4 linked regions of the Schizosaccharomyces pombe genome follow. The protein of the gene in region 4 interacts with the protein of the main gene of each other region in a biochemical or structural test. Each region holds a gene or a part of one and is shown on either strand. Other genes may lie near its edges.

The links.
Region 1: the proteins of hst4 (region 4) and myh1 form a complex in vitro, tested with the Schizosaccharomyces pombe proteins (one study listed by BioGRID).
Region 2: the proteins of hst4 (region 4) and swi1 form a complex in vitro, tested with the Schizosaccharomyces pombe proteins (one study listed by BioGRID).
Region 3: the proteins of hst4 (region 4) and swi3 form a complex in vitro, tested with the Schizosaccharomyces pombe proteins (one study listed by BioGRID).

Annotation. Positions count from the first base shown.
Region 1 is NC_003424.3:3,331,738-3,339,639, reverse strand, and holds myh1 (DNA adenine glycosylase Myh1), read right to left. Parts: upstream 4,759-7,902; 5' UTR 4,649-4,758; coding exon 4,053-4,648; exon of another isoform or gene 3,954-4,052; coding exon 3,760-3,953; exon of another isoform or gene 3,717-3,759; coding exon 3,121-3,716; coding exon of another isoform or gene 2,413-3,120; 3' UTR 1,926-2,412; downstream 1-1,925. Other genes in the region: clathrin heavy chain Chc1, read right to left, coding at 1-292, 349-422, 463-504; rpl2002 (60S ribosomal protein eL20), read right to left, coding at 1,362-1,892; RecQ mediated genome instability protein Rmi1, read left to right, coding at 2,413-3,120; aspartic protease Sxa1, read right to left, coding at 5,370-6,971. UniProt on the Schizosaccharomyces pombe protein: Adenine glycosylase active on G-A mispairs. Has glycosylase and nicking activities and is active at A/G and A/GO sites.
Region 2 is NC_003423.3:905,755-916,513, forward strand, and holds swi1 (replication fork protection complex subunit Swi1), read right to left. Parts: upstream 9,026-10,759; 5' UTR 8,840-9,025; coding exon 7,892-8,839; intron 7,876-7,891; exon of another isoform or gene 7,817-7,875; coding exon 5,849-7,816; 3' UTR 5,772-5,848; downstream 1-5,771. Other genes in the region: ATR checkpoint kinase Rad3, read left to right, coding at 1-5,771; TORC1 serine/threonine protein kinase Tor2, read right to left, coding at 9,517-10,759. UniProt on the Schizosaccharomyces pombe protein: Forms a fork protection complex (FPC) with swi3. FPC coordinates leading and lagging strand synthesis and moves with the replication fork. It is required for programmed fork-pausing which is necessary for mating-type switching.
Region 3 is NC_003423.3:3,089,123-3,095,624, forward strand, and holds swi3 (replication fork protection complex subunit Swi3), read right to left. Parts: upstream 2,735-6,502; 5' UTR 2,406-2,734; coding exon 2,239-2,405; exon of another isoform or gene 2,181-2,238; coding exon 1,802-2,180; 3' UTR 1,737-1,801; downstream 1-1,736. Other genes in the region: chaperone protein Mzm1, read left to right, coding at 151-211, 271-512; SPOM_SPBC30D10.05C (sepiapterin reductase), read left to right, coding at 875-1,618; isn1 (IMP 5'-nucleotidase), read left to right, coding at 2,961-3,168, 3,218-4,140, 4,191-4,277; ncb2 (transcription corepressor), read right to left, coding at 4,689-5,131, 5,171-5,213; zuo1 (zuotin), read right to left, coding at 5,872-6,502. UniProt on the Schizosaccharomyces pombe protein: Forms a fork protection complex (FPC) with swi1. FPC coordinates leading and lagging strand synthesis and moves with the replication fork. It is required for programmed fork-pausing which is necessary for mating-type switching.
Region 4 is NC_003424.3:2,190,396-2,197,447, forward strand, and holds hst4 (histone deacetylase, Sirtuin family, NAD-dependent Hst4), read right to left. Parts: upstream 3,221-7,052; 5' UTR 3,087-3,220; coding exon 2,894-3,086; exon of another isoform or gene 2,769-2,893; coding exon 1,714-2,768; 3' UTR 1,669-1,713; downstream 1-1,668. Other genes in the region: vps66 (acyltransferase), read right to left, coding at 1-114, 302-326; CENP-P family protein Fta2, read left to right, coding at 613-1,668; CENP-A chaperone, CHD family Hrp1, read left to right, coding at 4,622-7,052. UniProt on the Schizosaccharomyces pombe protein: NAD-dependent histone deacetylase, which contributes to both telomeric and centromeric silencing, proper cell cycle progression, DNA damage control, recombination, and genomic maintenance.

The sequences.
Region 1 (7,902 bases), 1.1 Mb from region 4:
ATCAGAGCCGGAGACGGTCCAGTGGAACACAGAAGTGTCAGTGACCATACCGATAACGCTATCGCTGATCCAAGTCCAGTAAACGACATCTTGATTCATTACATAACTATTAATTTTCGCTTTCGCTTCCAAGTCGAATACTTGAAGTTGTCTTTGTGCTTTTAATGCAATAATTTTCTTTTTGGGATGTAAGATAACTGAATCTGCCGAAATAGGACGTCGCAACACATTAGATGGATCTTCCAAATCGACAATAACGACCTGGTTTACACCATTTGGATTATCGCGAACACTACACGTATAGTAGTTAGCAAACAAGTAATAAAAGTGCCGATAAAATATACTTACCAAACATATTTGTCAGATTCAAGGGTTACATTTGCAAATCCGAAAGAAGACGGTTGAATTCCTACGGATGCGAGCTACAAGCATTAGCGTTTATTAACAACATTAAAAACCTACCTGTAACACCTCACTGAACCGTATTGGTAATTGTTGAGCCATTTTTAAAGTCCACACTGACAACCCGTCGTGGTGGAAAGAAAGAGGTAGAGGATAGGTGAAATCGCGAAAGGCTGGATGAGCCAACCCCCACTACAGACGACCTTCAAATCGAAGGGGGTTAACATTGCAAAAGTCCTAACGATAAGCGTTTTATAGTGATAACTAGCAAACAATTAACCTAGCGAATTTGCTGTACAGTATACTGATATAATATCATTAAATCGTAAATTTATATGATCATGAATATTGACTGATGAAGATTGGAGATTTTAATAGTAAATCTATAAATAATTTTTTGAACATTAGAATGGTTCATTTTTCTTCAGAATACCTATGCTGCTCGACTACAATCAGCTAAAAGCGATTCAGCGTCAGCGAGAGTTTCGAACTAAACCAATTTTAAAAGCGAAGGGACAACGGCAAAATATGTAGGCTTGTCTCGTTATGTAGATCTCTGAGGGGCAGCCAATATCATTAATGTGGCATTCACTGTCAAAGAACCAGGTCAAGATTACAAATTCCTCCTGTTTGAAACGTATGAAATGCTATAACCATGTGGCAGAAAAGAAGTTCAATTCTCGTCAATTAATATTCTCGTATTGCTATGGGATCAGCCAACCATTTAGCAAGTCATACATCTCGTTTTGCAAGCAATATAGGGAATTTGAATACAACGAACAAAACAACACAAACCTTTCTACAAAATATTGGGTTAATTTACAACTATAGGGTTAACTATTGCTTCATCGCCTCATGTCTCACTTTCACTATGATGATTTGCTACGCTGAAAATAAAAGGAAGTAATGTATTTTATGAAACACAAACGTGTACTACTACATATGGCAACCATAAATACTTAGTAAAAAGTGCTGGGACGGTGAGGAGCAAAGACCTTCTTGCCAGCCAAACCGACAACACCAGTACGTCTGTGAGGGAGAGGGAATTTCAAGTGAGGGTTAAGGAGTTGCTTGACATAGTTACGGCGAACGTCCTCCTTCTTCTCAACCTCAACAACCTTAAGGATACGGATGCTGCGGAAACGAGCACGATGACGGGCAGCCATATCGGCATACATAGCCTCAACGGCACCAACACGAGTAGTGTCACGGAACTCCTTGTACATGTTGTGGGTACCAGAGCGAGAGTCATAACGAATCCAGATACCGAAGACCTTGGCCTTCAACGGCTTAGGCTCGGAAATCTCATTGATGGCAACGATCTCACCAGTGGCCTTCTTGACTTTGTTGATCATCTTCAAGAAGTACCAATAACGAGACTTGGCAACAGATTCATTAGGTGCGAACAAACGCATACGGAATAGCTTGGGAACAGGCTCATGTTCCGTAGGAACCTTGCGTCCAACGACTTGATACTCCTTGAGTGCCATTTTCCCCAATTGGTGTTGTTCGTAAAAGTTTCACTTTGCTCTTCAAGGTATACTCTGTGACTGCTCTGTTACTAACGAAGTCTACCAATGTGCGTTACGTTTCGTAAGACATTTGCCCGACACGACACTTGACAGCGCGTTTGTTTACATTTTGAACAGGCTTGTAAAAAAGGTATTATTCTTTTTGTTGTTGTTTTTTTTTATGAAAATTAGATCCCATCTCTGGTAATCATAGGATTCGATTCACATTGGCTATATTCTCTTTTGCAGTAACACACCGACCTACTACATTAACGCTATATCGAATACTGAAAGCAAGAACTTTGAGTCTGCGTAATTGCGAAAAGCTTTGTTGGACAATATAGTCAATTGAAGCTGCTTTAGGTGTTCAACACTGGTGTGCTGATTCCTCCTTCGTTCAATAATCTCTTTTTAGTCAATAGCATGTGAGCTAGCAGTGTCAAGTAAACGAACATAAAGGAATATTTTTGATATTTAATTTTACAAGATTTCTACTATTATGAATCAAACTACCACCTTAAGTACAGAGCTGACCGAACTCGGGGTTCGTGTTCAAAACAGGTGGTTACAAAGCTTGCTGGATTATTTGGCCAAAAAACATTCAACTGGAGCAAACACAACTCCTCAATTAGTAATGCAGTATCTCGTGGCTTCTGATATACGTGAATCCACCACAAGCGAGGGAGCAGCTCCATATATCGTGTCTGAGCAGCACAATGTCAGAATTGAAAATACCATGTTGCTTCAAATTGTCCGAGTAAGAGAAATTGGAATTAGTATTGTTAATCAACTGGAATATCTAAATGATTTGGAAGAGTTGAAAAAATTAAAAGGCCAAAAAGTAATTCGCTTAGTACATGATGAATCTGGCGATGAAGAACAAAACGATGATGATGGTTTGACAGAGGCTCAAGATGCTGTACAAAAAGGATCGGAATTAAAAAAAATGTGTCGGTTAATCCTCGAAGACTCGAATGGTCAGAGATTTTGGGGTTTGGAAAGAAAACCAATCAAGGGCATCCAACTCAGTACAAAGTTAGGAACAAAATTATTGGTAAAAAACGTGCTAGTAAGGAGAGGTGTATTAATGCTGGATCCTAACAATACAACCATCTTGGGCGGTAGTATTGAAGAATGGGATAAAGATTATTTCCCAAAAAGGCTAATAGAAGAATTAAAAGGAGAATTGTCGAAAACAAAGGCGTGATTAGCACTCTGCTTTCGTTACAATCCTTCTTGCCGATGTCAACTTAGGTTCTTTAAAATTTGAAAGAGATGTAACCTTTCTTTTTTTTATTTCTAATGCTGCTCGATAGTTTTTTAATCCCAGTTCACACATTCCAACATGTTCAAGATCAGATTGCGAAATCCAAAAGAAATCCTCGTTCGTAACAATATCGGGAGAAGCAATAGCATAAAAAACGTGACTTGTTTTCCGTATGTGACTGAATATATGTAAGTATCTTCCTCGGGATTGATACTTTTTAATAAGAGAACGGCTATCATTTGATATCCATTGAGCAATAGATTTCTGAAATTCCGCATCCATATCTTTTGGCCAAGATTCTTGTCCAAACTCGATTGTTGGGAAATCCCATAGCCCTGCTAAAAGCCCTGCACTCGGTCGCTTTCGGATAAGGAAAAACTTTTCTTTGGTAGAAGGATCAGTTTTCTGAAATATAACAACGAGCGCCCTTTCTTCTCGTTGTTTTGTCTTAGCTGGATGGACTGGATATCTCGCAACAACCCAGTTTTGTAAATCTTCTTTGCTTGGAATATCTGTGATGCAAATATTACAGGGTACTTGGATCATTGTTAGTAAATATAGATAATTTTTTATTCATACCATCCTCTATATCATATTTAATCGTATTTCCATCGCGTATTACGTTTTGTTCTTGGTATGCTTTACAAATTTCAGAGATTGGGCAAACCGAGCATCGAGGACTCTGAGGAGTACAAGTGATTGCACCTAGCTCCATTAACGCCTGATTGAAATCTCCAGGTCTAACAGGATCTACAAGCTCATTGGCTAGCTTCCTAAATATTTGGTTAGCAATTTTGCTTAAATTGGGATACCTGGTTAACAAATTCACGGAATAAAATGTAGAATGATTTTCAAAATTTCAAATTACGTACCAAATTAAAGCATTCGCCTTTCCCTTGCTGCAATCACTATGGATAGCTAAAGCCCTACTTAATACACGAATGACATTGCCATCCACAATGCCTGTTGGCTGTTTCCATGCAATACTCAATACAGCACCTGCTGTATAAGGGCCCACACCAGGAATTCCCTTCGCCCATTCATCTCCCGTCCTAGGAATCTCACTGGGATGAAGTTTGGCAAGATGCTGACAAGCTTGATGGAGTCGTTTGCACCGTGTGTAAAAGCCCATTCCTGACCACAGTGGCATTACCTGTGTGTTGTACTCTGCTTCAGCACATGATTTTAAAGTAGGAAGAGTCTCCATCCACTTCGTGTAATACCGTTTAACTGTCTCCACACGAGTTTGCTGCAGCATAATTTCTGAAACAAGCACTTCATACAACCTTTGTACTGGTTGCTCCCAGTCTTCCAACGGTGAGTCTTCCGAAGGAGGAATACATTCTTTTTTTCTCCAAGGTAAAATCCTTTTAGTTTTATCGTAGAATTGAATCAAACTCTCGCGAAACCTTTCTACTTCTAGTTGTGTGTAGGAATGCAAATCTAAAGAATGATTTGAATCCGACATCTAAATTAAATATATATATACAATTAATAAAAGAAAGTAAACATGAAACGGAAAAGAAAGAGAAAACTAGTGTTGAAGGGTACGAAAGGAGTTGAGAGATGGGTTTTGGTAGAACTAAAGTGTTTAAATAGTGGAAACAAGTAAGCAATTAGTTCGGCTGAAAGTTGCATACCTCAGTATATAATAATCACATTGGCTTAAATTACTTTTAAATCATTAAATATTGTAGAATATTATTACCATTCCATTCTAATAAAAAATGAATCCTTACACATAATCTCCCGTTTAAAAAATTTGATTTTACGAAATTAATTCAACTTATTCAAAAGCTATTGTAAAATGTTATTAATATACCAGAAATGAAAGATTAGACAGTTTGGTATATTGATAAACTGACATGCAGCTGAGAGATAACCTCAAATAAAAGCACTTTTTTGGTATATAACATAAGAAAAACTATTATTATGAGTCCATCGGTTTTGAATTTAAAACAAAATAAATGAAGTGAAGTAGAGGAAGCTGAAGTAAACGAAACTAATTATAGATTATAGATCTAAAAATACCAATAGATAAAGGCTTTAAAACAAAAGTACAAATTGTACATGGAGGTTAAACGAAACGAAAAGCCGGCAGTGTAACGAAAGACTGCTGTTTTGTAATTTAAAATTTTAAGCTTTTTGAAAAGAGAAAGGCTGAGGTTAGTTTTTAAAAGTAACCGCACTCAAGCGAAAAGTAAAGAGATCAGAGTCGAGGCACAAAGAACAATAGCACTGATCGAAACGCCAACACTAGCGGCTCCAGATGCTTCACTAGAATCCGAAGAGCTGCTGCCATCAACAGAAGTGGAGGAAGGACTGGCGGAAGCAGTAAGTACGAGGGAAGATCCGAAAGAAGTAGCAGCGATCGACATGCTAACTGTAGGAGTAGCAGAAACGCTCTGACCGCTAGTGACGCTACGCAAAGCAGAGTTAATGTTCAAAATTTGATGATTGGCAGTACTGGTTGCGTTACTATTTAAAGCAGCAAGACCAATCTTTTGTGCATCCCAATCATAAATAGAATAAACGTATTGTAAGAAGTATTGACCCAAAAGGTAACTCGAGGTGTCACCTTCAAACAAAGCAAGATAGCAAATATCACCAGAAGTGGATTCTTGACGATAAATGACCAAATCATTAACGGAAACATGAAAGTCGGCATCGCTGCCAAAGTTAAAAGAAATGTAATCAGAATCTGAGAAAGAGTCGCAATAAATAACAACATAACCATACTCACTTACAATACCTTGGTATTGATCGGCGATGGACTCAACAGTATCCTCAGGTAAATAAATATAAACAGTACCAGTATCCAAAGTGACAGTGGTGTTGACCTCAATGTCTTTAGAGGAGCGTTTGGAGCTTTGAACATTGTTACTGGAGGTAGAATTGGTAACAGTGATACTTTCGAGATTAACGGAATAAAAGGTGCTGTCATCAGAGGAAGAGATGTTGACCCAGTGAACAGATCCATTGATTTTTGCCTTATCATAACCACCAAAAATAAGTTCACCAACATCTTCATTCAAATAAATTCCAAACGCGGGGGTGTCGATCACATTTGCGCTTACCAATTGATCAACAATGGTAGGGGGAGTAAAAGCAACGACCTTGTCATCAGAACTAATACCAGTAATAGTCATGGCAACTGACAAACCGATAATTCCCGGCGTTACGGAAATTTGACTACTATCATATTCGCGTGTAGCCAATCCAAATTCAAAGCCAGGTAGGGTAAGACCGGCGAAATAAGCGTTATCCACCATATTGTAGCCAAGGACGGTGGTGTTGTCGCCATAGGAAGCCAAAAATCCAATGGTGCTGGAGTTGGTACGCCTGGCGGTAGTGCTGGAATAATCAAAACACGTGTAGTTGGTACAAGCATTAGTACGAATGTCCGAGGTAGATCTACCAGCATCCACCCCATCGGTGTCACTCCAAATCTCGGAAGCACTTAAGGCCGTAATGTTCTTAGCAGTAACCCAAGTATAAGGACTACCAGTATCCAAAGTGAGAGAATAGACTCTTTCATTGCTGCCCAAGGTAAGGTTAGCGAAATAACCGCCAGCATCAGTGTACTCAAGATCCAACACTGGATATCCCGAAGAATCGCGCTTGTTCAGTACTTTGGTACGTTCCAGTTTCCTCGCCACATGATCATATTGGCTATGTTGCAGATTTAAAACGACCGATCGTTTTCCTGGAACTTCGCTATAAGCAGAAGCTACCGAGGCTTGTAACGCCTGCAAAGCAGAAATTGCAAATACAAAGAAAGAAGCCTTCATATTATTATATTGATTAGAAATGTTATTAATCAGAGCAACAACAAGCTTTGGTTTTCTTCCAAACTAATAGACGGTGTATGCGTTTCCGCCTGCTTTAATGTAGTTTGCTCTGGTCAAAGTATGTGCCCCCCAGAATTTCACATCAACGTAATCCGCGGTTTAAGCCATTCGCGGCTTAGTTGACGCATTCATGAACCGAACTCGTTAAATGACTTTTTCGTATTTTCTTTTAACAGCAAACTTCGTTATAATCCTTTCATATCCAAAGGAAATCCCTTTTGCAACGTTAAAAATTCATTATACATTATAAAGGTATTGTAGCGTAGTAGCTTAATGCACATAACGTATTCCAAAGTGTTTCCATTAAAATAAAAATCAATGTAAGCATTTTACCGGAAATTACTTGAAAACATTGTACAATTTGATTACTTAAACTGTTAATTTGTTCGCTTGCTAGTAATTGATTTGCCTCTCCATTTATGTGAATGTCTGTCGAAACTCCGATGAAGACCCATATATATACAGTGTAGCTAGCTGCAAAGATGAAGAAAATAAGCACATGTTATCTAAGCGCCTGAGATAAAAACGTCAAGTTATATTAGGAGAATTCTACATAGATAGATAACGGCTACTGTGAAAAGTTGTGTTAAGTAATACTGCACAAAAAGACCGCATGTTCGACGGATCAATAGTTTCGTTTGACAAAGTTTCTGTATAAAAACATTGATTTAACGGCTACCGCATCTCGTGATTCATAGTAGTCATGGTGTTTATATCTTTATTAAAATATATTACCACCATATCTGCAAAGTGTCACGGTAACGGGATTTGGAAAACCAAAGATAACCGTAGTTGCGGGAGCAAATAAGTACCATTTAGTGATATTAGTATATTAAAAAACCGTTTTTTGGTTTGTCAAGAAAGTACAGTC
Region 2 (10,759 bases), on a different chromosome or scaffold from region 4:
AAATGTTAGATTATTATAGCTCTCATAATGTTACAATAAGTGAGGACGACCTGAAGAACTTCTCTTTAGTTTTGTGTACTCATGTTGCAAAGGTGAATGAGAAAACAAATAGTATTTTCCGCACATATGAAGTACATGGTTGTGAAGTTTGTAACTCATTTTGTTTACTATTTGATGAGCGGTCGCTCTTTAAAATTCCTTATCACGAATTGTTTTGTGCATTGCTAAAAAATCCCGACATAATTTCCTCTTCTGTTAAACAATCATTGTTGCTTGATGGCTTTTTTCGGTGGAGCCAGCATTGCTCAAACTTTAATAAAGAATCAATGTTAAGTTTAAGAGAATTTATTATGAAAGCATTAGCCAGTACTTCAAGATGTTTACGTGTTGTTGCTGCAAAAGTTTTGCCCATTTTCATTAAGGGACCTAATAATCTTGATATAGTTGAATTTCACAAGGAAAGTAAAGCCTTGATTTTTAATACGTTGAAAATATTGGCGGTGGAAAATACAGCTATTTTAGAAACGGTCATTCTTTCCTGGATCTCCTTATCTAGAGTGGTAGAAGAAGAAGAATTACATTTTGTACTATTGGAAGTTATATCTTCTGTGATAAACAGCGGAATATTTTATCAAGGCATTGGTCTCAGCGCTCTGCAACAAATTGCCTCGACGCGTCATATATCCGTTTGGCAATTACTTTCTCCATATTGGCCAACAGTGTCCGTTGCGATTGTCCAAGGTATGGGTAAAAAACCGAACATAGCCAGTTTATTTGCTCAGCTTATGAATATTTCCGAGGGCGATTTTCTTATTCGAACACAGGCGTACACTTTACCATTCCTTGTACTTACTAAAAACAAAGCGTTAATAGTACGTATAGCTGAACTTTCACAAAGTGATGTTGCTACTTTGTGCCTTACCAATATGCATAAAATCCTTGCTTCGCTACTTACTACGGATCATCCTAATTTGGAAGAGAGTGTGATGCTTCTTCTTTCACTGGCCACTTCTGATTTTGAAAAAGTTGATTTAACGTCTTTGTTACGCTCTGATCCTATTTCTATTACTGTGGAGTTGTTACAGCTTTATCAGAATGATGTTCCTCATGAAAAAATTGAAAATGCTTTAAGAAAGGTAGCAATGATTGTCTCTCAAGTGGTTAATGACGAAGACTTGAGCAATAAGGAATTACTTTATGATTTTTTTAATAATCACATTTTGGGTATCTTAGCAGAATTTTCTAATATCCTTAACGACCTGAAAGGAAAGACTTCAATTAATGAAAAGATTAAGACAATTGTCGGCATTGAAAAAATGTTATCTTTATGTGGAGGTGCAGTCAAACTTGGATTACCACAGATACTTTCTAATTTACAAAGTGCTTTTCAAAATGAGCACTTAAGGTTTTATGCAATCAAAGCTTGGTTCAGTTTGATATTAGCAACCAAGGAGCCCGAGTATAGTTCAATTGCTGGTTTAAGTCTTGTAATTTTACCTCCTTTATTCCCTTATTTAGAACCACAAGAAGCAGAGCTAGTAATTCAAATATTTGATTTTATTTCTTCTGACACACACAAGTGCCTACAAGGATTAAAGTGGGCTATCCCCACCAGTCTGGATTCAGCGTGCTTTAGCCTTAAGGCTAAAGAAATATTCTGTTCGCTTCAAAATGAAGATTTTTACTCTGAGCTTCAAAGTATAATTAAGTGTTTAACTAACGAAAATGAGCCAGTTTGTTATTTAGGTTTACAAAAATTAGAACTTTTTTTTCAAGCCAAGGTGGACGAGTTACATGACACACTAAATTTGGACATATCCAACGAAGTTCTGGACCAATTACTAAGATGCCTTTTAGATTGTTGTGTAAAATATGCTTCAACAAATATGCAAATATCATATCTTGCTGCAAAAAATCTTGGTGAATTGGGTGCGATAGATCCCAGCCGCGCCAAGGCTCAACATATTATTAAAGAAACAGTTGTTCTTGATAACTTTGAAAACGGAGAAGAAAGTTTGAAGTTTATTCTAGATTTTATGCAATCGCAGTTAATTCCAGCTTTCCTTGTTACTACTGATACTAAAGCACAAGGTTTTCTTGCCTATGCTCTGCAAGAGTTTCTAAAGCTTGGTGGATTCAAGTCCGCAGTGATTAATAAAAAAAAGGGACTAACTGTGGTAACAGAACATTGGATGTCTTTGCCTGATTTATCCAAACGTGTGCTTATACCATTTTTAACTTCCAAGTATCATTTAACACCAATCCCCAAAATTGACATTCGGTACCCTATTTATAAAGAAAATGTTACTATTCATACTTGGATGCAGTTGTTTTCTCTTAAATTGATGGAGTACGCCCATTCGCAAAACGCTGAAAAAATATTTGGTATTTGTTCGAAAGTAGTGAAAGACCAAGAGGTTAACATTCCCTGTTTTCTTCTTCCCTTTCTTGTTTTAAATGTTATTTTAACCGAGTCAGAACTGGAAGTTAATAAAGTCATTGAAGAATTCCAGCTTGTTATTAATCAACCGGGACCTGATGGATTAAATTCCGTGGGGCAACAAAGATACACCTCATTTGTAGATGTATTTTTTAAGATTGTGGATTACCTTAACAAATGGCTTCGCATGCGAAAGAAGAGGAATTGGGATAGACGTTCTGCCATTGCAAGGAAAGAGAACCGTTATATGTCGGTGGAAGATGCTACCTCTCGAGAATCATCGATCTCAAAAGTTGAGTCATTTCTTTCTCGATTTCCTTCAAAAACATTAGGTATTGTCTCTTTAAATTGTGGATTTCATGCTCGTGCATTGTTTTATTGGGAGCAACACATACGTAATGCTACAGCTCCATATGCAGCTTTAGAGTCCGATTATAGAGTTTTGCAGGAAATATATGCTGGAATTGATGATCCAGATGAAATCGAAGCAGTGTCTTTAAATTTCCATGATTACTCGTTTGATCAACAACTCCTTTTACATGAAAATTCAGGAACATGGGACTCGGCTTTGAGTTGTTACGAAATTATTATTCAAAAGGATCCTGAAAATAAAAAGGCGAAAATCGGTTTGCTTAACAGCATGCTGCAATCGGGGCATTATGAATCTCTTGTTTTGAGTTTAGATTCTTTTATAATCAATGACAACCACGAGTATTCGAAGATGTTAAATTTGGGTATTGAAGCTTCATGGCGTTCGCTATCTATTGATTCGTTAAAAAAGTGTCTTTCAAAAAGCAACTTGGAATCTTTCGAAGCTAAATTGGGTAGCATATTTTACCAATACCTACGGAAGGATTCTTTTGCTGAATTGACGGAGCGGCTGCAACCCTTGTACGTTGATGCTGCTACAGCAATTGCAAACACAGGCGCCCATTCAGCCTATGATTGTTATGATATTTTATCTAAGCTGCACGCAATTAATGACTTTAGTAGGATTGCTGAAACTGACGGAATTGTTTCCGACAATCTTGATATTGTTCTTCGCCGTCGGCTTAGCCAAGTAGCTCCGTACGGTAAATTCAAGCACCAAATCCTGTCCACTCACTTAGTTGGCTATGAAAAATTTGAAAACACGAAGAAAACTGCTGAAATATATCTCGAGATTGCAAGAATATCTCGAAAAAATGGTCAATTTCAAAGAGCCTTCAATGCCATCCTCAAAGCAATGGATTTAGATAAACCGCTAGCAACAATAGAGCACGCACAATGGTGGTGGCATCAAGGGCAACATCGTAAAGCTATTTCTGAATTGAATTTTTCGCTTAATAACAACATGTTTGATTTGGTTGATGAGCATGAAGAAAGACCTAAAAATCGTAAAGAAACTTTAGGAAATCCACTTAAAGGAAAAGTGTTCTTGAAACTTACAAAATGGCTCGGAAAAGCTGGCCAACTGGGATTGAAGGATTTGGAGACGTATTATCATAAAGCGGTAGAGATTTACTCAGAATGTGAGAATACGCATTATTATCTTGGCCATCATCGAGTTTTAATGTATGAAGAAGAACAAAAGCTCCCAGTTAATGAACAGAGCGAACGATTTTTAAGTGGTGAGTTAGTAACTCGCATAATTAACGAATTTGGTCGATCTTTGTACTATGGTACAAATCATATATATGAAAGTATGCCAAAATTGCTCACACTGTGGCTTGATTTTGGGGCCGAAGAACTTCGCTTATCTAAAGATGACGGCGAAAAGTACTTTCGTGAACACATTATCTCTTCGAGAAAAAAATCTTTGGAACTTATGAATTCGAATGTTTGTCGCCTTTCTATGAAAATTCCTCAATACTTTTTTCTGGTTGCATTATCCCAAATGATATCCAGAGTATGCCATCCAAATAATAAAGTTTATAAAATTTTGGAACATATAATTGCAAACGTTGTAGCATCTTATCCTGGGGAGACGCTATGGCAATTAATGGCAACAATAAAATCGACTTCTCAAAAGCGCTCGCTTCGTGGAAAAAGCATTTTAAATGTTTTACATTCTAGGAAGCTTTCTATGTCTTCCAAAGTTGATATAAAAGCACTCAGTCAATCTGCAATTCTCATTACTGAAAAGTTAATCAATTTGTGCAATACAAGGATTAACAGTAAATCTGTAAAAATGAGCTTAAAGGATCATTTTCGGCTTTCTTTTGATGATCCGGTAGATTTAGTCATTCCTGCTAAATCATTTTTAGACATTACTTTACCAGCTAAAGATGCTAACAGAGCTAGTCATTATCCATTTCCAAAAACTCAGCCTACTCTGTTGAAATTTGAGGATGAGGTGGATATAATGAACTCTCTTCAAAAACCAAGAAAAGTGTACGTTAGAGGTACGGATGGCAACTTATACCCATTCTTGTGCAAACCCAAAGATGATCTTCGTAAGGATGCTAGATTGATGGAATTTAATAATCTTATTTGTAAAATATTGAGGAAAGATCAAGAAGCGAACAGAAGGAACTTGTGTATTAGAACTTATGTTGTTATTCCTTTAAATGAAGAATGCGGATTTATCGAATGGGTAAATCATACTCGTCCATTTAGAGAAATTTTGTTAAAAAGCTATAGACAGAAAAACATTCCCATATCATATCAAGAAATCAAAGTTGATTTAGACTTTGCACTGCGAAGTCCTAACCCTGGTGATATATTTGAAAAGAAAATCTTACCGAAATTTCCTCCAGTTTTTTATGAGTGGTTTGTTGAATCTTTCCCAGAACCAAATAATTGGGTTACTAGTAGACAAAACTATTGCCGAACTTTAGCAGTAATGTCAATAGTTGGCTACGTTTTGGGTTTGGGAGATCGCCATGGCGAAAACATATTGTTTGATGAATTTACAGGTGAAGCTATCCATGTCGATTTCAACTGTCTTTTTGATAAAGGTCTTACTTTTGAAAAACCTGAAAAGGTGCCGTTCAGATTAACTCATAATATGGTAGATGCAATGGGTCCGACAGGTTATGAAGGGGGTTTCAGGAAAGCTAGCGAAATAACGATGCGGCTTCTTCGCTCAAACCAAGATACATTGATGAGCGTACTAGAGTCTTTCCTACATGATCCTTTAGTCGAGTGGAATAGAAAGAAGTCGTCAAGCAAGTACCCGAATAATGAAGCAAATGAAGTTTTGGATATAATTCGCAAAAAATTTCAAGGCTTTATGCCAGGGGAGACGATACCTTTATCTATTGAAGGGCAAATTCAAGAATTGATCAAATCTGCTGTCAACCCAAAAAACCTGGTAGAAATGTACATTGGTTGGGCTGCTTATTTCTAGCATTTTACTAACAAAAATTTCAATGAACAAGCTACCCATTATTAAACTTATGATTTGAATCGAAGATATTTTATTTATTAATCCGATGAAGAATTCTCGCTGAGTTGTTCAATTTCTTGTAATTTTCCTTCCATTTCTAAATCGTCGATTCGCTTAAATAGGGCACTGGCTTTTTGTGCATTTTTCTCTCGTAAAGCAGCTTCTGATTGAAAAAAAGCTATATCTGTTTCTGAGTCATCATCCGAATCAACAATATATTTTGCAGATCGTAAATGGTTTTCCTTTTTCTTTCGAGTTGTATGGTCAATAATAGTTTCGTTAGTTTTCATCTTTTTACGTTTTCTGTCAGTAATCTTATTTAACGCTTCTCGACGATTGGCGAAAGTTATAGGATCATCTGCTTCAAATTCAATTTCTTCGTCAGATGTTTCACCCTCACTACTTGATGGTAAACGAACATTTCCTCTTTGCTTCCTCACTAATAAATCTTCGGGCTTGGTGCCTTCAAACGTCGGCGGATCATCAGTAAACCTTCTCAACAACATGGCATGCTCAACAAGTTCATCAATTATAACAGAATTTGGTAATTTCCATAGTGCTTGAACGTCTATATTGTTATCTGATTCTTCGAATCCACATAATTCTAATAATAGACGAAATTTTCCGTCTTTCAAAAGGGCCGTATTAAATGAATCTGTGTCTCCTTTCAAATTCTTCCCCATTCTTTCACCATCATTTCCACCTTCATTTATATATTTGTTCTCGTCAGCTAGCGTTATTAGCTTTCTTTCTGAAATGAGGCAATTAAGTTGAACTTTCAATTCATCTAATAAATCACTTTTGTTTTCATTTATAAGGCATGCAACAACGGCAGCCACCTTTTCCAAATGTGATAAGCCAGGCACCGTCTCGTATAACGGGCCTTTTCTCGAACCATGAATAGAGAAAAGTGGACTTTTTCCATATTCCAGATAATAAAATGTGTCGGTTAATTTTGGGAAAGGCAACTCAATAAAAAGTGCTGGTACATCTTTTAATGCATCTGAAAGCTTTCGCATATAATATACAAAAAATTGTTCAAAATCCTGTCTTGCTGAATTTGTAGTAGAAAAATAGACATGGTCATTAAACATTTTGTCCAGAACACGTAGGAAATCGAGACGATACAAATAAACATGGCATTTTTGCTTCACGAAAATGCGGTAAAAAAAGGAAATAGCCCTATGAATTTGTTTTGAATCCAGATCTTGGTAACATTGAAGGAACAGCACGAAACTATCAATACATCCATTATCACAGTACCTAGACTCATATCTGCCGAAATCAAACAGACGGTCCTCAACGGCTGCATTAGCATTAATCAAGCTGCTTTCTTCATCTTCATCCGATTCCAAGACATTGCTATCAACAGATTTCTGATTTCTCCTTCTCTTTTTCACATAGAGATATTGTTTAGCACTGCTAAATTTCTCAAGCTCCTTTAATAGCACTATAGTTAGCTCAGTTATTGCATCTAAATACCCAAAGGACTGAGTTTTAAAATGCTTTAAAGCGCTATAAACAAGTAAAAGAATTTCCTCTTGGTAAAAGATATTGCTTAGTAGATTATCGGCAATTCTTTGGTAAATTTCTGAGGAACAAAGTGTCATACTTCGAAGAGTGAAAAGTAATTGAGTCATCGAAAGCATGGATGCTTGGAAGGTGCTCCATTGTTTCATTTCAAAGGATTCTACCATTAACCTGTTGTGCATAATCAAAGCTCGTTGGTCAAAAACGGAGGCTGCTAAGCCAAAACTATAATCATTAGAGTAAATTTCTTCTGTTTTTTTTGGTTTAGACGAAAATCTCATGAATTCCAAAAAAAATGACTGAACGTATAATAATTGCATTTTATGAATTGGAAGCACACGAGGATCTTCTCTTTCCAAGTCTTTTAAGAGAGACTGAAATAATGGATTGAATCCAGCTTCCAAAAATTCGACAGCAAAGTTCCTTAATGCAGTACCTGCCTCGGTATTGATAAAGAACGATTTGTTTATGTCATCCTAATATTGTTAGAATAGAATAGTTGAATTGGAAAAAAAAATTTAAACAAACATCGTGTTTAACTAAGTACATACAAAATGTTTTCGACGTGTTCCTCGTTTTCGAAAACGCTTATGAGAGTCAAGCTCATCAAGGCCGTCGGTTTTTATATTTTGGCTAGCAATAGTAAATCTTCTGTCTTCAGTTTGAACAGAAAGCATGGTTCCAAATCTATTATGCCTCGTATGTGCATTTCGTTTCAAATAGCGATTTTGGGTCGACTCTTTGAGGAGTAAGCTATTAAGTTCGGTTTGAGAGTTAGTCAATGAGGCATCAGAGAAAAGGGCTGATGGCTTACAACCTCTGATCAAGTTGTAGACTATTTCTAATATGTAAACATCAAAATGCTCAAATTCATCGAGATTCGAGACCAGTGTGACAATCAAATCTAATATATGAGCTTTCGCAAACGAGATAATTGTTTCATTTTTTGTTTTTAATTCATCGATTTGAAGAATGTTTCGAAATAGTAACAGCACTATCCTGATTATTCCCTTGTCTCTAAGTGTTCTGGATTCTGCGGGAGTACTTAAGGGCTTTAGTAAAACAGCTAAAATGGCGGATAAAACGCTCCCCTTCTTGTAAGATAAAATTGAATTTTTATAATTTGATTGAGCTTGACGCAGATTATAGAGAACATCAACATTTTCTCTGAATGTTTCATGCTCAGTCTCCAAAGGCCATGTTAATGGTACAAGAAGCTCAACACAAGCTAAAGCGATACGCCAGTTTCTGTAATTAGTAATGTCTTTATCCCAGTCAGAGAGTATTGGACATATATCATTAGTTACCAACTGTAAGCTCGAGAGCAAAGATCGAATTTGCCAAACTTTGTACTTTTCATCGACTACTTGAAGATAGCGCTTCAGATCCTTTAGGCAAGCCAAAGCTTCATCACCAAGAACGTACACTTTTTCATCGTCTGAATAGTCAAATCCTCCAATGGCAGAAACAATGCCTTGAATCACCTCATCTAATTCCATTCAAGTTGATTTGTTAAATCAAAAGCTCTCAAGTTCCTTTTTTTTGTATTGTCGGTATGCGTCGATAAATAAACCAAATTTAAGAAATTAAATAAATTTTAATAATTAAGCGATATTAATTATGTTCATGAATAATCGTATTCTTTTAAGATAAGTAAATTTGATTGTAGATACGTGAAGAGGGGTGGTGACAGTAAACAATGAATAATAAATTTTTAAAACAATATTTAACTTTTCAAAATAACTTGGATTTTTAAAAAAATGTGTGTAAAGTAAAACACTTTATAATTTAAATCGCATTAAAATGGCATTCAGTATTATATTATAAAATTCGATAATATGGACTCAACAAAACGAATTTGCTACCTAACTTGTACAATGCATAATTAGAATTTAGTTTCAATAATTTTCACAATTTCAGATGTAGAAATTTAGAGTTTATTATTTTCAGAATGATTAAGCAGCAAATCTTTAATAACAATATAAAGAGATGCATTCTCTACTACAAAATTCTAAAAATTCTGCGTCAAATTCAACATTTCCTCTATTTTGTAAAATTGTAAAACAACGTAATAAATTGTTACAGGACTCATTCATAAAGACTATTTACACTTTATTTAATATAGAATATATATATGATGCGGCAGAAAAGCAATTTGAACGTTTGGGACTGTCACCTACCAGAAACTACACCAGCCAATATAGCACAAGCATAGGTTCTCTATAGAGGTTGCTTGTAAAATCAGCTTCTCTACTTGACTTGGTACATCCAATTGCTGTTGGGGTTTGAAATCCCGACCAGTAAGTTTATTGGACACACGATTAAGAACGGTTATAGCTCTTTGATTGAGTATCTCGGGTTTTTGACGTTCTTCAAGTGTAATTCCTTCTTCGTTTAAGCGTTTCCGGTGTAAACCATCAATTGTCTCACCGAGAAGTGTATTAGGTTCGTTAGATTGCTTTTCATCGATAGAAGGTGAATATGCAGGAGCAAGGCGCCAGTTAATAAGAGGATCGTAAACGAAAGCTTCTAAAACTGCCATCACAGACTCCTTATTAGTACGAAGAACTCGCATAACATGTTCGCATGTTATCCGGAACGTCCCCTCTATACCACTAACTTCCATTGCGTTAACAAGCATTCGCGTAAGGCGGAAAGGAATCTTCTCGGGAAACTTTTCTCGATGCATTGCTACTTCAAAACAATCTCCAAAATCGATATGGATGATATTACCTGTATACCTGTCCAGCATCAAATTGGAAGGATGACGATCGCCCAAACCTAAGATGTACCCTACCATTGACATCACCGCAAGAGTACGAGAATAGTTAGTTCGCCTATTAAGCCAAGCTTCTGAGCTACGACTCTTCAGCCATAAAACGCGGTATAAATCCTGCCCCGTAGTACTAAGTAGGGCATATTCAAAGACTTCAACTTTCTGAAGGAGAGTGAGACGATCGTAATCTGGAGCCATCTGAATGATCAACCTATGTTCTATGTTGAGTAAAATCTTTCTGCTTTCTCTGTAGTCACGAATTAAGACATGCAAAGTATCGCTATCCAAAACCCAGCCTAAAAGGCCTGAATCCGGTGATAAAGGAATCACTGGATACCTTTGGATTGAAAGTAAGCGCTTAAAAGTTTCCGGGTCAGCTAGTAACAGATTGTTACAAAGCCCAAATAGCTGCATAACACGTTCATCTTGTCTGATGTCCTCGTGACCCTTTAAAACATATTGATAATCTTTTCCATCACTGCCTTTAATACTCAGTCGTCTCGGACGTTGCTTAGATGTTATCACGTTGAATGTAGGGTAAAACTTTACAATTCTTATAACAGGTTTCCCGCTAACGTATGTTCCCGGAACAGCTAACTCAAGATCATGTACATGTAAGAGTTTAGGAGAAACGTATTGTAAA
Region 3 (6,502 bases), on a different chromosome or scaffold from region 4:
TTTTCCTGAGTTGACTTTAAACAAGAGAATAAGAATTATATCATTAACATATCGATCCCTTTTCTAAAGTCCCTCAGTACCAATTCTAGTTCTTTTGACCGTTTTTTCTTGTTTTTAAAAATATTTTTTAAAGAATTTAGAACGTTAGTAATGTCAGCTGCTAAACAATGCTTTCGTAATCTTTGGCGAGCATCCAATTCGGTTTTTGAAGGTAAGTGGGTTAACCTCTATCAACAAGTATGTTTTTTTTTATTCACAGATGATACTTAGGGGACCCAATGATTCTCGCAGCTGCAAGGGATAAAATCAGAACTGGTTTTCACAATCATCGGTGCTGTTCTCCAGAAGAAGCAAAAAAAGAAATCCAAAATGGTAATGCTGTTGCGGAAATCCTTAGAAGGAACGTCGTTCAAGCTGAAAAGCAATCCAACGATACCTATTCTTTGAAAATTCGAAAGACAACTGAAATTAATACAAACAGACAATTTACTGAAAAAAAGTTTCCTCGGTAATTTTTTGAAATTACTGCATCAAGCTCTATTAATACAATAAAGTATGTTGTTTTCATACTCATATTTATTTTTTCTGTTTTAGTAATGTTTGACCATTAACAAAAATAAAGGGAATGGCAAGCTTGTTTTGTATTTGCACTTCATTACTTTCGTTTTTTAATACCATATAACAATTCCTTTCGTGAATAAATAAGCAAAATTAAGATTATATCGGTTACTTTATTGTGATTATACGGAACCTCGTTATCTTGGCATCATGATATAAATCATAGCATAGCTAACATATTTCCTCAGTTCCACAATCTGGCTTTACACTAAAGTAATTCACACCCTACATTTCTATAAATTTCTATAAAAGCATTATGGCCGAAACCGCTGAAAAAGTTATTTTGTTGACTGGATCCTCTAAGGGTATTGGATTGGCTACTGCAGAAGCTCTACAGAAGAAGGCCAAGGTTATTGCTGTTAGTAGGTCCTTGACCCCAGAACTAGAAACTTTGCTTATTCAAAATCCTGACTCATTTGTTCACGTGAAGGGTGACGTTACGGAGGTTGGAAAAGCTAGTATCGAAACTGCTATTAAAAAGTTTGGAAAATTGGACTCGGTTATTCTAAATGCAGGTGTCCTTGAACCTATAGCCAAAATCGCTGATGCAGATATCAATGAATGGCGTAAGTTGTTTGATATCAACTTTTTCAGTGTGGTTGAAACAGTGAAGTATGCAATCCCGCATTTGCGTAAAACCAAGGGTACTATTGTGATTGTATCCTCTGGCGCTGCTGTTCGTGTTTTTCCCGCGTGGGCTGCATATTGTTGCTCAAAGGCCGCCATCAACATGCTAGTCATGAACCTTGGCAGCGAGGAGCCTGATATAATGAGTGTGGCAGTACGTCCGGGAGTTGTTGATACCCCTATGCAAGTTAGTATCCGTAATGATTCCAATAAAGAAGCCATGGGTGGAGATACTCATAATTTTTTCAAAGAACTTAAAACATCCGGTCAACTTGTGGCTCCTCAGGACATCGCCAAAGCTCTTTCTTTTCTAGCCTTGAATAACAATCCAAAGCTTACTGGTCAATTCGTAGAATGGAAATCATTTGTCTAGATGTTCTATAGTTTATTGAATTTCGGAGTTAGAGGCTACAATTGTTCGTTTAAATAAAACAAAATGAATAAATTAAACATTACATCAAATAAAAGTAGCTGAAAATAGTCCCAAAAAATGATCATGATTACTAATATTGATAAACAAAGCTGCAACAACATCTCAATCATTCATTAATGGTGACTATTCTAATTGGGTATCGTTGTCTTGGGCGACAAAAGCATCATCAGCTGTATCTTGAACATATGGATCTCCGCTCGTCAAATTCACTAATGAATTGGAAGATGGACCAGTAAATAATGAAGCATTAGAGTCCGAACCATTTTCAACAGCAATTTCATTAATCCAACCACGACGTCGAACCTTGACGGATCTGTGTTTTCCTAGAGTTTTAAGATACGATATTGAGTCATCAAACGTGGCTCTTGGATATAACTCATGAGTCCATATATGATACATTCCCAATAGTTGTTTTAAGTCTTTTGCCTCATGACCCTTTCCTTTTAACTTAACTTTGCGCATCATTTTCCTTAATTTTGGAATTCCATTTTCAGAAATCAATCTAAATAGGGAAAACGAGTGGTCAATAATTATTTTCCGAAAACCGACCAAATTCTTACCTTTCTTCATCAAATTTTGCCAACCGTTTGCGAGGTTTTTTTACAGAATCTGGATTTTCTTCTAACCCTAAATCAAATTCTTTTTCTTCTTCATTCTTTTTCACCTCTTCCCTTTTGTTTTCCTCGACGAGTTTTTCAACACCTGAATCAGAAGCAGCTGTAGACATTTCTTATGGTGTTTTTTTAAAATATATATTTGCTTGTATGTTTCGCAAAAGAGAGTTAGTGAATGCAATAAATATCGATTTGCTTGCTGTTTCGCTTCAAAAGTTCTGTTAATCTAGCAATTTTTCTATGTACTATTGACTTTACTGCTAATGAAAAGCGAATAGAACCTTTCAAATTTAACTGCGCAGCAAGAAAGGTTTATAATTTACTAATGAAAGAAAATTCCTTATTTAACGCGGATTAGAAATGTGTAGAGGAAGAATAGTTCAGAAGGCTCATGTTACACCTGGACTATATACTTTTATAAAATTTTGTTAAGAATGCTCATAAATTATAGCTAATTTTTGGAATTGTGATAGACGTATTTGAGTGATAGTGCTCGCTGCTAATACTAGTATAACAATTCTCAACGTAATCATTTTTGAATCGTTTCGGAAAGCATAATAAAGCAACTTTTACCCTTTCTCTTTCAATTAACATACTTTCCTTCAAATTTCTTGCATTCGTGTAGATTTCTTTTTTTGAATAAGTGTTTGTCATTAAAGGTTTAGGCAATGGCTTCTAGATATCGTGTTGAGTATGCGTTAAAGCAACATCGGAAGGACGATTTTATTGAATGGATTAAAGGTTTGTTGTCAGTTCCTTTTGTTTTACAGGCAGGAACCCCTTCACAGAAACTAGTAACGCGCGAAAAAGAGCAGGAAACGCTTGAGCGTTACGCTGTAATTTTAAGAGATGTGGAAAAACTTATTGAGGCTCATAGTAAGTTTCCCCTTCATTCTTTTAATTTTCTAACCTTTCTCATTGATAGTTCAAATAGTTTCAGAAGGTGGATCCTATAGCCAGTTAAAGATGCTTGTTCCATCGATCACCATATTTTGGACACCTTTGCCATTAGTGAAAGCTATGTACGCGTTGGAACCAAAGCTTTGTCTAGCTAAACGAAGCTTTGTGGCACCGAGTTTTAACGATGTCAGGGCAATATTAGGAGGTGCTCAATTGAATTACCTTGCGGATAATGGCTTGGATATGGTCAGTTTTGATGGAGATGTAACTCTGTACGAAGATGGGCAGCCTTTGCTTCCTGACAATCCTGTTATATCCCGTTTGATTCAGTTACTTTCGAGGGGGATCTATGTCATCATTCTTACTGCTGCTGGCTATCCCAGTCGTACTGGCCAGGAGTATACTGATAGATTTTCAGGATTATTGCAGGCAATCGAAGACAGCGACTTGAAGGATGGGCAGAAACGGAAACTTCATGTATTAGGAGGCGAGAGCAATTACTTATTTGCTTATGACCCACTGCATGGTTTACAATGGGTGGATGCTGACTCATGGATGCTTCCCGTGATGAAAACATGGCCTCATGATGAGATTCTCGAAATTTTGGATACTGCTGAAGAAACTCTTCGTTCTTGCATTCAAGGACTTAACATTGATGCAAAAATAGTTCGTAAAGAAAGATCAGTTGGATTTGTACCTTCCCTTGGTCAAAAACTGAGAAGGGAGCAACTGGAGGAAGCTGTTTTGGAGACACAAGCAACGTTGCAGATACGAAATTTCTCAGTTCCTTTTACTGCTTTCAATGGTGGAAATGATATTTGGTGTGATATTGGTGACAAGAAATTGGGTGTTTTATGCCTTCAGCATTTTTTTAATATTTCCCATCCTTCTCGCTGTCTGCATGTTGGTGATCAATTCTTGTCAGCTGGTAACAATGATTATAAAGCGGTAAGTTTGAAATAAACTTTTGTTGAAGATTACTAACCACCTATTCAAAGAGAGCTGCTGCTACCACTGTTTGGGTATCCAGCCCCCACGAGACGATTGAGTTTTTAGATTATTATTTCTCTTTTTTAAAAAAGTAATTTAATTAGAGGAGAGATCTTATACTGCAAACACATTCGTAAATATTCTTCTTATACTTCAGCAATGCTATACTATACTTATAAAATGAATACCCATATAAGCGTTTTGACATCAAAAGATATATGATCGTTCAATACATTGTTAATCTTTGATTTTTGATATCAATTTCTTTGCTAATTTTAATAGCGCATTATGCAATGTAAGATTTGGAATAGCATTAAATCTGAATACATGAATTTCACATCATAAAAACTCTAAATAAATGAAGACAAAAATAGTGATAACTCAAAGAAAGATACAGTATGTACTTGATTAGTTTTCAGAGTAACTTTAAGACATGAACGATAATTTGCCATAGAAGCAAATTCTAAACAAATTCCGGATTTTTAATATCCATAAATACATCTAGCTCAATTTTCTTTTGTTTCGGTCTCTGATGCGGTAGGAACAGGAATGGCGGTTGTCGTATGATTATCGTGAGCAATATTTTGATTTTTAAAACGCTCACGGGCTCGGCTTAATAGCTCTTCTTGTTGTCTCAATAACTCATCTCTTGATACACCGGATTGTTCAAATTTGCTACTTTTCTTCTCACGATTCTTTTGTTGTTCTTTATGCTCTGCCGCCACTTCCAAAGCTTCAGCAATATATTCCTTGAATTCCAAATTCTCTAAAGCTTTAATAATGTGTTCAGCGGCTATAGTTTTTTTTGCCTCCTTTTCGCATATTTCATTAGCTTCACTAGAAACAAGATGTATGAACTCCACACAGCACTCTATCAGTAAATCTCTAGCTTCCTTCGTAAAAGTCAAGTCCACTGGAAGTATGTCGGAAACCATTTTCTGAACGGTGGCTACACATTATTAGTAAATATGGATTGCAATTCTTTTACCTTTGGGAAGGGACAATTCATCGTCCGCGAAACCATCATTCATTATGCAAAATTTTTATTCCTAATTTCGTTCGTTTCAGTAATGCAAAACGATTTTAGAGAATGCAGGTTTGTGTAATACTCAAACTAGTATAGATTCGTTGCATGCTTTGTTATACATACACATATATATATTTTCGTCCAAGAAGATATTCGTAGAGTACACTGGAATGCAGTATTGGTAGACTCGTTCTATTCAGCAAAGAATGACAAAAATGATTTTATAAGTATATTAGACGGCAATTTCACAACTCGATTATACTTGCAGAATAATTTAAAAAAGACATGGATTTGATTACGGCTTATTCTTGTGCTTTGAAAATCCAAAATTACGACAGGGTATCAGAGCACTACAAAATAAATGAAAAAAAATTTAATGAATTATTTTCGAGCAATTCCGGCTAATTAAACCCGATACTCTGAAGTTCTCATAGAATGATCAGCATATTGATAGAAGTTTCAGAACTTCAAAGAATCTAAAATCTTTAAAATACATTACTGAGCATAGCAAATAATAGAAGAAAGGAATGGTAAATATTTTATTCTATGGTATCAAAAAAAACACACATTTCAAGATGTATAAATGAAAGTGGGTAAACAAAGATGGCACCAAATTTGATTTCTAAACTCACGCTAAACCCAATACCTTTTTTGTTATGAACTTACTGAGCAAAGAAAACAACGTCGGCTGATGACATGGATCCACGTTCAATAAACATTTTGGCAAATTTGTCAAAAACAGCTTGGACAGAAGCAGCACCGGCAGCTTTCTCAGCATTGATGTCAGCAGCTAATTGTCCAAGTTCTCCTTCACCTAACTTGGACATGATAACATCAACGTCTTTTAACACACTGTCAACATGCTCAGCTGAAGGAACGTCAGTTGCACTAAAATAGTTGAAGTCTTTGAGAGCGTTCTTGACAACCTTTTTATCACGCTTTTGGGCCTTCTTTTTATCCTCCTTAGCCTTTTTGTTAGCAGCAGCAGCAGAGGCTTTAGCAGCAGCTTCTTCAGCAGCACGACGTTCTTCTTCTTCTTTCTTTTTCTGTGCAGCAGCAGCAGCTTCACGTGCACCAGCCTCACGTTCCCATTTACGAGCAGCCTTAGCAGCCTTTTCTTGTTCTTTGAAAAGCTTAATACGAGGATCAGAAGCCAATGCAGTATCAACAAGGTTACGTAGGCGTGCATTATCACGAGCCTTATTCTTTTGACGTTCCGAACGATTCTTCTTCTCCTGAAAACGCTTGTTATCACGAGATTCACCATCATCAGGGATATCCTTGTCTAAATAT
Region 4 (7,052 bases):
TGCAAAGAGGAACTCGCAATATCATAACAACAACTATAAGGATCCATTTAAAATTAAATCCACTAGGAGTTTCTGTATTTATAGGATGGAATGGAGCTATGCCCGTTCCCGGATCTAAAAGGGTTAATGAATCTGCATTAAAGTCATTTTGTTAAGAGAAATTGACAAACACTCGATCTTAAAGTCAAGAATCATAATACAAAATAATTGGCTTCTATTTTTTGCTTTTATTTTTTTTTGCGTTCTATTTAAACAACATTTATGTGAACAATCAAGCATTTAAAGTATTGCATATTCTTACCTCTCCAGCGAGTAAATTTCTCCATTTCACAATGAAAATGATAAAATATTACAAATATTATTTTTAGTAGAGTAATATGGATTTCAGTCGTAAAAATGAAGTAGTGATTTCAAAGTGGTAGCTACTAAGATTCACTTCTAGGTTTAAGTGTTGCTTTGACCATGACTATATACTATATGCATTTGTTCCACCATTTGAGGATTTTGGATTTTTCATTAATGTTGCATAAAAAGTATTAAAACACTTTTGCACGAGCATTGTTAATTGTAGTAATACTGATACTATTATCGCGTACGACTATAAATATCAAAATGTCCGGTAGGCGATATAGTCAAATTTCTCAACAAGAAGGATCTAGCAGTAGTGATGATAGTGATTCGCAACAAAAAAAGACAAAACGTACTGTTGCTCACCGAAGCCCAAATACTACTTTAAATGGCATGCCTCGCGTAGATTCACGAGCGAGGCCTAATGAAAACAGTGGACAATCCAAATCTAGCAACGGAAGAGTAGACACTGACAGAAAAATGGATCTTTTGCGCAAAAGGAGTAACCTTGTACATCAAACCCTGCTTCTTGAGAAAGAGGTGAGGGTTAGACGAAATGCAATTAACCAACGCGACGATTCGTTTTTAAGCGGATTTATAAAATCATTATTAGAGATTGATTCCTCTGTAGTAATTTATAATACCGAAAACCCTGATAATCCTAAAACAAAGCAAGTTATGCCATCTGCTGAACCCAAAAAACATGTTAAATTGAATTCGTCCATATCATCCATTCGTTTCACACAACATGAATTTGAAGCGGAATCCGAGAAAATCATTCATCATTCTCTTAAAGGAGATATAGAATATCTCCCAAGCTTCAAATTTTTACTAGAAATTAAGGTCCGAACAATCGATTATGCTCTTTTATTTATTACTTATAAAATCCCGCATTTTGCTAGAAAAGAGCTCAGTAGTTTTTCGGACTCTGCAATACAATGTCTCGATATAGTAGCTCTTTTGAGAGCGTTCTCATTATTTGCCCACCATTACTCATATCGCTGCAATACGTGGTTTTATTTATCAAAGCATATGAAAAAAGTGGCATCAGCAAACATGGACGCTCAATGTTTCTATGTTCAAAATTCCTTTTACAAAATTACAATACTTTATGAGATAAAATTTGATGATCTTGGTTTTGTACAACCTAATTACTGCATCTCTTATATACTAAAGAATCAAAATGAAAAAATTGTAAGCATCACATCAAAGTTGCTTAATCAATTAGACAAACGTTTTTCGGAATTTGTATCGCTTTTCGGATTCAGAGAAGGTTCACTACTATTATTACAGGCATTATTTAAACCTCATTTGGGGTAAGAAGGATAAATTGATATTTTTAACATGGTTTATTGAAGCTAAATGTTAAAGCGGAGAAGGGGTTGCATATTCAACTTCTTGTTTAATTTCCACCTTGGGTATTTCAATACTATTGAGCACTTGGTGCAACTGAAAAGAAGTGTTATCTTTCTTAGAACTATCATTGCTTTTCGTGTTCAAGCCAATAGCTTTCGTAATTTTAGTGGAAGAAGTAATCTTTGTTTGTTCGGAAGATTTTTGTTTTGAAGTTCTTTTGGCAGAATGGGACTTGAGTTTCCAACTTGGAGCATCTAATAAAGGCTTCAGACGTCTAATAGCAATTTGAAGGTCTCCTTGTACAACCAGGTCGCATAAGTTCAAAAAATCTTTCGTAGGTTCGTCATAATTCAACCAAATAACATTTCCCTTCTGTTTATGCACACAGTTGCTCATTTCCTTGATAATTCTTTTGACACCAGGGATTTTACAAGAAGTACCAGCAACAATTAGACAGTCAGGGCGGGACTTTAAATCTTGTGAACAGACCGAACCAATAGATTCGGAATCCGGATGTATCTCATTGTACAAAACAATCCGAGGACGAAGGCAACCCTCGATAACTGATCTTTTTCCTGCTATACGACGAACCTCGTTCTCGGTTTTACAGTCAGGGCAAACAGTAACACCATTTCTATCAAATATATCTGGATTAAATTTTTTCAAAAAGCTGCACCTTGTGCAACTTACAACTTCCAGTGTCCCGTGAAGAGGAATCGTGGTAGGCCAAGGGGCAGACTGCGGCAATGGAATACATGTTTGAAGGCCCTCGAGTCTGGTTTCTAAAAAATCAATATTTTGTGTGTATAAACGTAACAGCTTAGATTCTTGGGCTAGTTGAGATAAAAATAAATGGAAATCAGTGGGGCGTGCATTATTAGAAAGCATATGTAGCTTTCTAATCATTGCGTGAAAGATGTTAACACTCTTAAGATCTCTGTAAACAGATCCATCAAACAATTCCTTCCCGGAGCAGTTCAATTTATACTCCGCACGAAGGGAGGAGAAAAGACCCTCAGAGGAACGGAAATCAGGAATTCCAGCATCACAAGAAATTCCAGCACCTGTTTAAACGTATTAGTAAATGAGCCTTTGTACGATTATAATATTTAATTTTTTTTTTAATCCCACTTTTTTTTTAAGTGAAAAGTTAAAATAAAAGAAGGAAAACCATAAATAAGCAACATACCAGTAACAACGACTATGCGCTTTGCCTTGCGAATGGCAGAAACTAAAGGAGATAAATCGACATTTTCATTGCCTGTATGAAGTCTAAGTGGAAGCTTGGAAAGTAATTGCTGCCTTTTCGAAGCATTTTCAGAAGATTGGCATTTTCTCTTCCTCGACTCCTGTATTAGAGGGACGTGCTCCTCCACTTTCATACTAAGCTACGTAAATTTGGAATTTTTTAAATCCAAAAAGTTGAGTGCATTAATTAAAATATATTAAAATCATTGAACTCTTCGACTTCTTCCTAAAATGGAATGGTTGAGGAATTAAGTTGTGATTGACGGTTAGGCGGTTGTGTCTACGTACGTTTCGAAAGGCCGTTGAAGGACAATTATATCGCTTGAAAGACTCAATTTCGCCATGTCTTTGTATAACAGTAATCGCAATTTTTTTCTCTATTCACTTTTAAAAATGCCGTTGAACCAATGTTTATTTAGAGTACTGATTTTTTTGTTTTTACCCATTTAATAAAATGTTCAGACTAGAAAATCAGCTTTCATGCTGACATTAATAAAAAGAATAAAATTAAGTCTTCAATAATCCTTCTGAGATTTCTCCTTCTATCAATATATAAATTGTCTAAATAGTCAAATGAAATAAATAAATATATACAGAAACTGGTAATAAAAATATTAAAACAAAAAGGGATTGCAAAAATTTAAAAAAACAATTGAAGTTCCATTTTCTTAAATATTGGGAAAACTTTCAAGAGTTTTAAGTACAGTATTTTTCCTTGACATTTAATTGAAAAAGTTGGAAGGTGAAGTCTTTCATAAAATTCTCAAAAAAATAACAAAACCAATAAATATATCTTTGAATCTTTGGTAAAATATCCATGCAGTTAAAAAAATTTAGTAAAACCAATCGGTCAAATTTTTAATTAGTTTATTTCTTTCAGAAACTATTGTTTTCTCTGTCTCGATTCCCCTCTCAATTGTAATTAAAGAAGTAAATAAATACATTATGTTTTCATGAACAATTGAAACAAAGAAGCATACGTTTATGTGAAAAGTTTCGACGTTTTTGTGTAAACTATTTAACGTTATGGGATAGTAAACAATAAAATATATAGAAATTTTTTGAAATTAATGATCTTTAAATTTAATAAAAGCATGCGAACTGAAGCATTTTATGAAATACGAATTTGCCTTCACGTTTTGCACAGTTAATTTGAAAATGAAATAAAATCTGCAGACTTGCTCGGAAATACGAACCGGAAATGAAAATTGTAAGCTAACTTAATTTCCATGGAGTGAATGAGAATAGCTCGTACATTTTATGGCAAAGGATTTTTTTGTTTGTAAAGGTCTTGCATTTTCGCAAAAATTGAGAGTGGAAATTGCATGAGTAAAAATAGTGAATCCTTCTCAAAAGGTAAATTTTATTAATAAAAAGGGACTCTGGAGAAGTAATTTGATACCAAAATCACCTGCATTGCCTGGCATTTCATTTATAGTGTTGCATATTTTTGCACTATTAATTTCTGCCAACAACATAGTAATTTCAATTAATAGCCTTATAGGCATACTGCTTATTCCTATTAATCCTTTGTTGCTTCACTGTTAATATCCAGATATATATTTAAAAAAAAGCATTTTAAGCTTTTAAAAGAGAGTCTGCAAAGGAGCGCCTACTTTGTGGACGTTCTCAACATTTAACATTATATAAATTTTCTGGAGTAACAAGAATGGAGCCTGAACATTCGAATTATGATTTAAAAAATCATCCTACGAGCGTTCAAGAGTCTACTTTAAATGGCTCTGCAGTAACTGATCCTCAGTTTGGAAATACAACAAATTCTCTACCTAGCATGAATGGCCTGTTAAATCATGAAAATTCTTTCGCTTCGCAGCAATCTTTATCGTCTTCTGCCTTTGATGATTCTGAAATCGTAACCAGCACTGCTAATAGCACAGTTGTATCTTCTGCTTTGTCTACCCCTAAAATTGACGATGCGCAAAACTCTGACGATGTTAGAGTAGATGGTACAAGACGTTCTTCAAGGGCTAAACGACCCGTTTATCGTGATTTCTCTTATACTGAAATTGACGAGCATGAAATTCCGATTCCTAAAAAACGAAAGAGCAAACCTGCACCAAAGCAAAAAAAGTCTGTGGCTAGCGATGATGAAGACGCATATGATAAGAGACATAGATTCAGTATTAACTCTGCTTCCGGAACCGAAATCCGTACTTCATTGCGATCTTCAAAAGGTAAAAGCGTCAACTACAATGAACAAGAATTTTACGACGACTTCGAGGACGAAGAAGAGGAAGTAGAAGAACAGGTCGAAGAGGAATATGAGCCTATTATTGATTTCGTTTTAAATCACCGAAAGCGAGCGGATGCACAAGACGATGACCCGAAGTCTAGCTATCAGTATTTAATTAAATGGCAGGAAGTTTCCCATCTTCATAATACTTGGGAAGATTATTCTACGCTTTCTTCTGTGAGGGGCTACAAAAAAGTCGACAATTATATAAAGCAAAACATCATTTATGATCGCGAGATTCGTGAAGATCCAACTACAACCTTTGAAGATATCGAAGCTCTGGATATTGAACGCGAACGTAAAAATATGCTTTTTGAAGAGTATAAAATTGTCGAACGCATAGTAGCTTCTGAAACTAACGAAGAAGGAAAAACAGAATACTTTGTAAAGTGGAGGCAGCTTCCTTATGATAATTGCACATGGGAAGATGCCGACGTAATTTATTCTATGGCACCAAATGAAGTTTATCAATTCTTGCAACGTGAAAACAGTCCGTATCTCCCTTATAAAGGTGTTTTCTATAACACCCGTCCCCCGTACCGCAAGTTAGAAAAGCAACCATCTTACATTAAAGGGGGGGAAATCCGTGATTTTCAACTTACTGGTATAAACTGGATGGCATATTTATGGCACCGGAATGAAAATGGTATTTTAGCAGATGAAATGGGTTTGGGTAAAACCGTGCAAACTGTGTGCTTTTTATCTTATTTAGTCCATTCTTTAAAACAACACGGTCCTTTCCTTATTGTCGTACCGCTTTCCACTGTTCCGGCTTGGCAAGAAACATTGGCCAATTGGACACCTGATTTGAATAGTATTTGCTATACAGGTAATACGGAATCTCGTGCTAATATTAGAGAGTATGAATTCTACCTTTCTACGAATTCTCGCAAGCTTAAATTTAACATTCTACTTACGACCTATGAGTATATATTGAAAGATAAGCAAGAACTCAACAATATTCGCTGGCAATATCTTGCTATCGATGAAGCTCATCGACTCAAAAACAGTGAATCATCTTTATACGAGACCTTATCTCAATTTCGGACTGCCAATAGATTATTAATAACAGGCACTCCTCTTCAAAACAATCTCAAGGAGCTGGCATCCTTGGTTAATTTTTTGATGCCTGGAAAATTTTACATTAGAGATGAATTAAATTTTGATCAACCAAATGCTGAACAAGAGCGCGACATCCGAGATCTACAAGAAAGATTACAACCCTTCATTCTCCGTCGCTTAAAAAAAGATGTAGAGAAATCTTTACCGTCCAAATCTGAGCGTATTCTTCGAGTCGAACTATCTGATATGCAAACTGAATGGTACAAGAACATTTTAACTAAAAATTACCGCGCCTTGACAGGTCATACCGATGGCCGAGGTCAGCTATCCTTACTCAATATAGTTGTAGAGTTGAAAAAAGTATCAAATCATCCCTATCTGTTTCCTGGCGCAGCGGAAAAATGGATGATGGGTAGAAAGATGACTCGAGAAGATACGCTGAGAGGTATTATCATGAATAGTGGTAAAATGGTACTTCTTGATAAACTGCTGCAGCGTTTGAAACATGATGGACATCGCGTATTAATTTTCAGTCAAATGGTTCGTATGTTGAATATTCTTGGAGAGTACATGTCCTTGCGCGGATATAATTATCAAAGATTGGACGGTACCATCCCAGCTTCTGTACGCAGAGTTTCAATTGATCATTTCAATGCACCAGATAGCCCTGATTTTGTGTTTTTACTTAGTACCCGTGCAGGGGGACTAGGCATTAACCTAAATACTGCAGATACTGTTATTATTTTTGATTCTGATTGGAATCCCCAAGCAGATTTACAAGCTA